2 linked regions of the Arabidopsis thaliana genome follow. The protein of the gene in region 2 interacts with the protein of the main gene of each other region in a pairwise test. Each region holds a gene or a part of one and is shown on either strand. Other genes may lie near its edges.

What was found. Proteins that work in one complex are often made in the same cells at the same time.
Region 1: the proteins of AIRP1 (region 2) and UEV1D-4 interact in binary tests that used the Arabidopsis thaliana proteins (3 or more experiments, as listed by UniProt).

The regions. Positions count from the first base shown.
Region 1 is NC_003074.8:19,493,817-19,497,749, forward strand, and holds UEV1D-4 (ubiquitin E2 variant 1D-4), read right to left. Parts: upstream 2,280-3,933; 5' UTR 2,139-2,279; coding exon 2,105-2,138; exon of another isoform or gene 2,082-2,104; intron 1,593-2,081; coding exon 1,453-1,592; coding exon of another isoform or gene 1,450-1,452; intron 1,267-1,449; coding exon 1,087-1,266; intron 1,003-1,086; coding exon 862-1,002; 3' UTR 561-861; downstream 1-560. Other genes in the region: AT3G52561 (uncharacterized protein), read right to left, coding at 3,372-3,671. UniProt on the Arabidopsis thaliana protein: Has no ubiquitin ligase activity on its own. The heterodimer with UBC catalyzes the synthesis of non-canonical poly-ubiquitin chains that are linked through 'Lys-63'. This type of poly-ubiquitination does not lead to protein degradation by the proteasome.
Region 2 is NC_003075.7:12,240,242-12,244,593, reverse strand, and holds AIRP1 (RING/U-box superfamily protein), read left to right. Parts: upstream 1-1,887; 5' UTR 1,888-2,132; exon of another isoform or gene 2,133-2,158; intron 2,159-2,202; 5' UTR 2,203-2,403; coding exon 2,404-2,540; exon of another isoform or gene 2,541-2,728; coding exon 2,729-2,792; intron 2,793-2,872; coding exon 2,873-3,164; intron 3,165-3,239; coding exon 3,240-3,349; intron 3,350-3,457; coding exon 3,458-3,481; 3' UTR 3,482-3,790; downstream 3,791-4,352. Other genes in the region: AT4G23460 (Adaptin family protein), read left to right, coding at 1-94, 396-695; AT4G23440 (Disease resistance protein (TIR-NBS class)), read right to left, coding at 3,935-4,352. UniProt on the Arabidopsis thaliana protein: Possesses E3 ubiquitin-protein ligase activity in vitro when associated with the E2 enzyme UBC8 in vitro. Plays combinatory roles with AIRP2 in the positive regulation of the abscisic acid-mediated drought stress response.

The sequences.
Region 1 (3,933 bases), on a different chromosome or scaffold from region 2:
AGATCCAGGCTGGATCAATCCAACCATGAGTGTTAATGTTTGGGCTTGAAATCTGATGAAACATAAATTAATTGAGCTTCTGAGCAATGTGTAAATGTGTTATAGGTTTAATTACGTTCAACCACTTTTTTCATTTATTTAATAAGTTGATTTTCCAAGACCACTCGTAATCAACTTTCATGGAGTCCGTTTATGGTTAAGACCACTCGTAATCAACTTACAAGCAAGTTAAACAGTGTCCTAAAAGTAGAAGTCTACATGTCGAAGAATGATTGTTTCTATGTCAAGAACGACGACGCGGAACATCAAGAAGTACATGCAAATCGACGTGCATCATCATCAATAAGAAGTGTGCTAATTGTAGAAAAAAGTAACACTTAGTTTTCAAAGGTTCTATTAATCACCGTAAGCATTGGCTTTAGATGAATCACAGAAACAAAAATAAGGGTTACGAAGCTGTTCATGGCTTCTTTTTCCATTAGTTCGGATTACAAAGATTCATGATTTTTTATGATACTTTCTTGTTTTAACCTTGGTGTATTACATAACAAATAACCAATTAAATATAGCAGATTTCATTTATATATAAAAAAAGGGCTGACACAAAATGTTAAATTCAAAAGATTGAACACATGGAGTGAGGAAGAGAAGCTGTTTTTGATATTTGCACACAATGATAAAACTTCAGATGATCAATCGGACAACATCATCATCATCACCATACCATCCACACAGACCATTTTTTGATGAATTAAAAAAAAAAAAGCGTTGAGAACGACAATGGAGGACCCCCAGATACATACTTTGGTATTAGAAGGGGCAATGATTTTCTAGCAAACCAGAAGAAGATTCCAGAAGTAACTAGAAGCAAGTACCTTCCGGAGGTTGAACAAGCTTACGGTTATGCGACGTAGACATTTCCTTCTTCAACTGTACCAGTATATCCTCCATTGTGTACTCTCTTTGCCAGTTTGCAAGTAGCCCAAATTTCTTAGGATCCACCTATACACATACGCATAAAAAAATTACAGAGCATCCAAAGAAACAAAACAGAGAAAGGAAGGGCGGTGGTGAGTTTATACGTACCACTCCTGTTTCGTGGTTGACACAAGCCATGTTGACACGTGAATGGAATCGGACAGTTGGAGGTTTCTCCGGGTAATCTTTGTCACAAAAGAGCTTCAACTGATAGATTCTACCTTCATGAACAGTCTGTGACATAAAATTTATCTCTGTTACTACAAGCAAAAGCAACAATGGCATAATCTGCTCAAATAAAGCTTAAGAGATTGTATGTCGATAAGATCAATGCCTAGAAAACAATGTGGTTTTGATGTTCTGTATTCCAAGCAATGAGATGCAAATAATATTAATCTATGCTTCTCAAAACAATTGTTAACATATATGAAGACGAAGGAGAATGTTAGCAGATAAAGAAAAAGATATAACTACGTTGTGAGGACCGATGATGGTGCCAGTCCAAGAACGCATATAGATGTCATCTCCATCATCCATTCCATAGCTCACAGTTCCATCCCCAATACCTTTCTCCCCACGTTCAAGCTCCTCCAACAACCGAAAATTCCTCGGAACTATATTGCAATAACAAGCGTAACAAAAACAATTCATATCAGTAAATGAAAACAAGCAATCACTTTTTTTAATCAAAGCAGAGAACAGAACATATCATATTAATCATTATCCACAAAGACTAAAATAAGATAACACTCAACAAAGTTAACAATGAGCTATAGAGAAGATGAAAACATTCCTAGCTAAGGTCTTAGAAACAATAAGAAACTCAGGAATAGCATTTTAAACCCATCTCAGGAATTGAGACATCAGCAAATCATTCTCAGCGATTTGTTAAAATTGATTGATTCAGATCAAGCTATATGCGAACAATTTAGACAAAGCTACAATTTTTTATACTAGATCGATAGAACCTATGAGAAATCTCAACACCTATTGATCAAAACGAATAAAACCAAAAGAAGAATTCACCAAAACCCTAGAGAAAAAAAAACAAACGAGGGATTATTCCAAAACCCTAGAATCAAAATCAAAAAACGAGAACAAACCCGAAAGAATCGAAATTTTATACCAACAACGCTAGATCCTCCTGAGCCAAGAGTCATAATTGATGAAGTTGTGGTTTCGATATCCGATTGATTTTGAGATCTGACGAGCAGAGAAGAGAGACGAGAAGAAGTAAAGGGAGAATCGAATAGAGAGAATCTGGTGAATAGACAGAAAGCTAAAATGGGAGGGTCAAATTTGGCAAATCGGGTACTTTTGGGGAGACTGGAAAAAGTTATTTTTTTCAAATTTACCGCCCAAATTTGTTTTTCTATCATATAATTCCTTAAATTATGATAACTACAGAAACACCCCTTTTATTTTCGAGTTTTGACAACATCTATTTGTTATTATTTTAACTAGCAATGCAAAATTTCTATATACATGAAAATTATTGAAATATTAAAACTCGCTTGATTTGCAACTAAATTATCGTAAAATGTAAATTTCTTTTTCAAAAATCATGTTAAAACTTTAGGATAAAATGTTGTCACGTATATATGTCGTCGCATGTGCCTTAATATATATGAAAAACAGAAATTAATTATTTATTAGATTTTTGAAAATTTAGTACTTATAAATAGAAAAATGTCATAAAATACATTAAAACAAATTTTAGTTGCTACTTTTTCACTAAATTTAGGTTTAAAAATATTTTCTTAAATAATTTAATATTTGAAGTTTGTAAAAGTTCTTAAATTTTATTGAATTTGATGGTGAATTGTTTTGAATAAATAACGTTTTAATTGATGAAGATACAACTTTTAACCTTAATTATTGAAAATTTCATCGGATTGAATGCCGATGAAACCAAAGCAATACCATTATTAGCATACTACCAATTTGATTCTTAAGACCCTAATTCGAGACGTGTCGATTTTTTTACTTGTGTTTAAATTTATATTTTGTAATTTTTAAAAATAAACTTTCTATTTTTTTTGGCGTTTTTCATTTACATTGAAAAACTATGTTTCTCTGGAGTATACAAATAAATAAATATAAACGCAAACGCCATAACTAGCGTTTGAAACAATCGAATTCAACTCCGATGAAAATCCATCCTCGTTCATGTCATTGGCTTCCATAGTACTAAAACATGAAAATGGACAACTTAACAAAATGAACCAAGAGGGACGGCCACAAACAGAAATGATCTGTCTGTCAATTTAACATATTAAAATAGAGATTATAATTTAAACAATATGATTTATATAGAGGACTTTACAAAGAAAATTAAATTCATCATCTCAAACTCAAAAGTCCAAATTGAATAATAACTTAAAACAAATTCTCTAAAAGAAGATCAAGTCGGTGCATTTGCACTTGGGGCAACGTTGACGTTCTTGTAAGACCATAACATACATCATACAACTTCGACATCCCATCACCACCATCTCCGGCGCCTCTTCTTCATCAACCCACGACGATGCAACCTCCTCCTTCACTTCCTCCGTCCTCGTCAGGCACGAGTTTTGTGATGATGATGTGTCGCTCGATGGTGATCTTCCTTCAAACCTCCCATTAGCAACCACCGACGCCACGGTCCTCGCCGAGGGCTCAACGCTACCTCTTTTACCATTCTTGTTTCTCATTTCGATACTTCGGTTTCGTCGAGAGGGTTTTTGTATTCTTGTATTTGTTTTTCTCTGTGTTTTTCTAGGGGATGGGTTGATGGTAATGACTTCTAAAGAAAATGTATGTATGTAATATATAAGGAAGAAGAGGAGCTAAAATATGACTAGGAATTAATATTTGTTGAATAAAGTAATTATGTTGTGGAGAGAGATATGACTTTGTTTATTTCGTAATAATTTTTTTAATTGGAGGTGGGAAAGTTAGTAAAAGTATAGTAGA
Region 2 (4,352 bases):
CAACCAGCAGCCTGTCTGGTACTTCGAGGATAAGATTGTACTTAACGCTCTTTTCTCAGAAGATGGTCGGATGGAGCGCGGAACCTTCCTCGAGGTAAAAGACTAATATATGATAAAGAGTTCATTAACAATACAGCACCATGTTAGTCATTGACTAATAGTGGAGAGGGCTTATGATATTAAGATGGGCGAGTAATTAGTGACAGATTTTGTGCCTTAAGAAGCCTGGGGGAGTTAGGGTGCTGTAGATCTTAACATATGATATGGTTTTCATCGATTTAAGTTTCTAGACTCAGTAAGAACTGAAGGAAGATATTGATTTCTGATCATAACTATATACCACAGTCTTAAAAACCAGTTCTTCTGAGTTATAAAACATTTGTTTTTTTGATTAGACATGGAAATCGTTACCGGATTCAAACGAGGTGCAGAAAGAATTCCCCGGGATAACCATCACGAGCGTGGAGTCAACACTTGATTTACTCGCCGCATCAAACATGTTCTTCATAGCAAAGCGTAAGAATGGGAACCAAGACGTCCTCTATCTTTCGGCCAAGGTACCAAGAGGCATACCGTTCCTGATCGAACTAACGGCCATAGTGGGTCAACCTGGTCTGAAATGTGCAGTCAAGACTCCAACCCCTGAGATCGCTCCTCTCTTCTTTGAAGCAGTCGAAATTCTCTTCAAGGCTTGATTTGATTTTACACTGCCCTAAGGTAAGCAAATTTCTTCTTTTAGTGTATGTAGTAAGTGAATTGTTGCCGACTTCTTGTTTCTAATTTTTGTGTTGGAACCCACTCGTTTTTTTATTCTCGTAAGAGCTTTGATTTTTGATGTTGTCGTTGCGTATATGCCCCAAAAGGTTTTTGATTAAACTAGTGTGATAATGACTTATTATCAGCAAATGCTATTTTTAGTGTTCAGTGACCGACATGAAATCAAAAAGTTTCCTAAGTGGAGCGAAGAGATTCGTACACGTAAACCAGTTGAGAATTTGGTACCTTCTTCACAACAGATAGGCGTAGATAGATAGATACTGGGCCCGTAATGCGACGTAGCAATTTCCTAATATCAATATCAATCATGATTTCCTGTAACATGCGGTTACAAAATAGCTTCGTCGAAACTAATCTTCTTTTAATTATCGATTGATTATTAAATCAATTCAAAACCAAAACTAATTGAAAATTTTAAAGCTTGAGGGGGACTAATAGTAACGTGAGATTGAAGTAATGCCACCGAATATAAGGGTTGAGTAAGGGCGCTACACGCCATCACATAAAAGGGATTATACTATCAATCAACTAATATTTTTGTAACTTAAAATGAAATACCAAAGTTTCGACATTATTGGTTTATGAAAGCTCACCATTGTATTTTAATTTGATCAAAACTATACATTTTAGTTGAGACCGTAAGTACAACAAAGGTCCAAGCTTGAAAATACTTTTTTAGACAATTTTATCATTTACTAAATAGAATAATTATTATTTGTCCCCACCAAGGGTTTATACTTTATATCAGTTTATCTGTAGATAATGTTTTAAATCTGTTCATATCCAATATTTTACTAAATATAAAAAAATTGTTTTTCTGGTTAATCAGTTTTTAATTTTATTTTGAACCAAAAGTATGAATCATAATTTTTAGATTTAAGATACTATAAGTAGTGCAATCATTAATTTAAAACTTGCTTATATAGTTATAACTTATATGGTTAATATTGTATATCCCATAAAATAATACTAATTACCTTGGTGGTCAAATCATGAAAATCTTATTATAAAAGGGCTAATGGGAAATATTCTTAAGAAAATCCAGAGTTTCCTTGTACGATATGGTTTGTGATTAATGAATATAAATACAAAAAAGTTTGATTAACAACCAAAATAACAATTAAAGTAAAGAAAATTGTGATCCCTTGATTTTATCTCTCTGATAAAGTCGCCTCTTTCGTCGCAGCTAGTCTTCTTCGTCGCCATCAGAAAATTCTCATTCAACACAAAACCTCAAAAAGTTTTCCCAGAAATCCTATCAAAAGAAGGACTATATCAAGCTTCTGTTTCTGTTTTTTAGGTAACTAATGATTTTTTTCTTCTCCGTTACAAAAGTCACTTTATATTTTTGTTTTGTAGGATCACTAACTCTGTTTGTGAGGTTCTTCTTTTCTGTTTTCGTTTGTTCTGTTTGGTTGTTCTGAGATTTTTTTTTTTTTTTTTTTTACTTCTGTTTCAGCCCACTTTTTTAGTTTCCAGGTTTTACTGTTTTTTATTTTTTTAACCACTCTGTTTTCAGTTCTTCGTCTATTAGGGTTTGGTAACTAATAGTATCTCTGTTATGGTAAACCAAGTTTTTTTTTTCATTTGAAAGCTCAAGATGTTCTTAGGATCATATGATTTTCCATGAGTATTCAACATGAAATTTACTTTCTTCATAATGAACCTCATAAGTACACGAGAGTCTTTAATCTTATATTTGTCATCACAATGGATACACATATTTGTATTGCTTTAATCTCTGTGACTATTATTCTCTCATTGTTAGTGTATAGTTAGCTATGTTACATTGAAGTACTTGTGGTGTTTGAGTTTGGTTTTCCAGTTACTTAGTATGATCACAGAGCTAGATTTTGCCTCCCATTAGAGTTTCAATTAGGAGTCTTATGAATTTTTTCTGGATACTACAGGTCTTTTGGTAACCTAAAGAGCTGCTATACACTGATCTGAGAACTGTCAAAACTTTATCATACCAAAGAATGGGTTGCTGCTGTTGTCTCCCGAGTATACCCGAAGTAAAGCCTCTACGTCTTTCTTGTTTGCAGCCTTTTTGGGTTTTGGTTTTTGTTTTCTTATGTTTTATTGTTTTCTGTAGAGCTCAAGAACTATAGATGAGCATCTTCCCTTATCTCGTGCCACGCCTTCCTCTCTCTCTAATGCATACAGTTCACCTCTTTCGCCGCCTATTCCTTTAGCCATCACGAATATAAATCTTCAAACTAGTCCACCGAAATTGCCAAGAACTCAGGGCAATTCGAGTGAAGCATCCCCGGGACTCACACAAGTTGTTCCAGAGAAGAAAACATGGCATGTTGATGATCTAACTGATTTTGAGCTAAAGAAACAGTATCGAGAAGCAATCGATGAATGTCCAATTTGCTTAGAAGGTATTTTGTTTATCATTCAAAGTTACATGTTAAATATAACATTTTGGTAAATATCTTCATCTTGTTTGTTTGCAGAATATGAGATTGATAACCCGAAATTGCTCACTAAATGTGGCCATGACTTTCATCTCGCTTGCATTCTTGCATGGATGGAAAGAAGCGAGGCGTGTCCAGTTTGCGATAAGGTTTGTGTCCGTTTAAAATCCGCCATTTTCACAATACATTTTGAACTTCTTGAGTCACTAGAATCTGTTTTGACAATAGAGTCTACTTTTTGGGTATTCTTTTCACAGGAATTAGTGCTCACTGAATCATAATCGTGAACAAGAAACCAATAGCTCGGAACAAGAAGTGCGAAAAACGGTACAGAAGATTTGATATAAACAGGCATTAGGACTTACTCTGGTGGTATGATGAACATTGTTGCTCTCTACTACATTCAGAAGCTTTCACTTCCTTTTGATGATATACAGAAATTAGATTTGATTGTTTAATATTCTTTGAAAAACTCTTATGTTTAAGATTTGTTTCTGAATCTGAATTAATTCGAGAAAAGTTGAAGAACAGTTTTAGAAGAGCCTGAAAATTCAGAGATTTTACTGTGATAAAAAAGGATTCTCTGACAAATTTCTTAGATAACAGTTTTTTTTATTACTAAACCTTCTGTATAAATCTAACTCTTATGACTAAAATAATGATAATTAAAAAAAAACAAGAAACTCTAACCTTTATAACTTTTACAACAAGAAAGCCCTAAAAGCTTCTCTCTATTACGGTGAAGTGTTATGAATCTGATGAACATTGGATAAAAGCCTCGTTAACTTACTCAATGTCTCTCGAGCCGACACAGTCCCAGGATGATCCTCTCCTGAGATCGAAGTTCTTATGAAGATTGCTTTTCTGATCAAGTCATCAGCCAAACCAAATTGCCCGCCTCGTAACATCAGCTTAGCTCGAGTCTCTAGCACGGTGGCTCGAGCTAGAGCAAGTTCTTCCCATAGAATAGGGTTTAGTTGTGCACTTGTCTGAACTGGTCTCCAGCAAAGCGACTTGTCTAGCCATTTCTCTACTGGTGTCACTAGCGTTTGGTCAGCTGCTTCAAGTGCGTTTGTGCAGACCCTTAGTAGCTCCACTGAGGCTGTGCATCGCGAAAATGATATGAACGTTCTGATTGCAAGAGGCAAGATT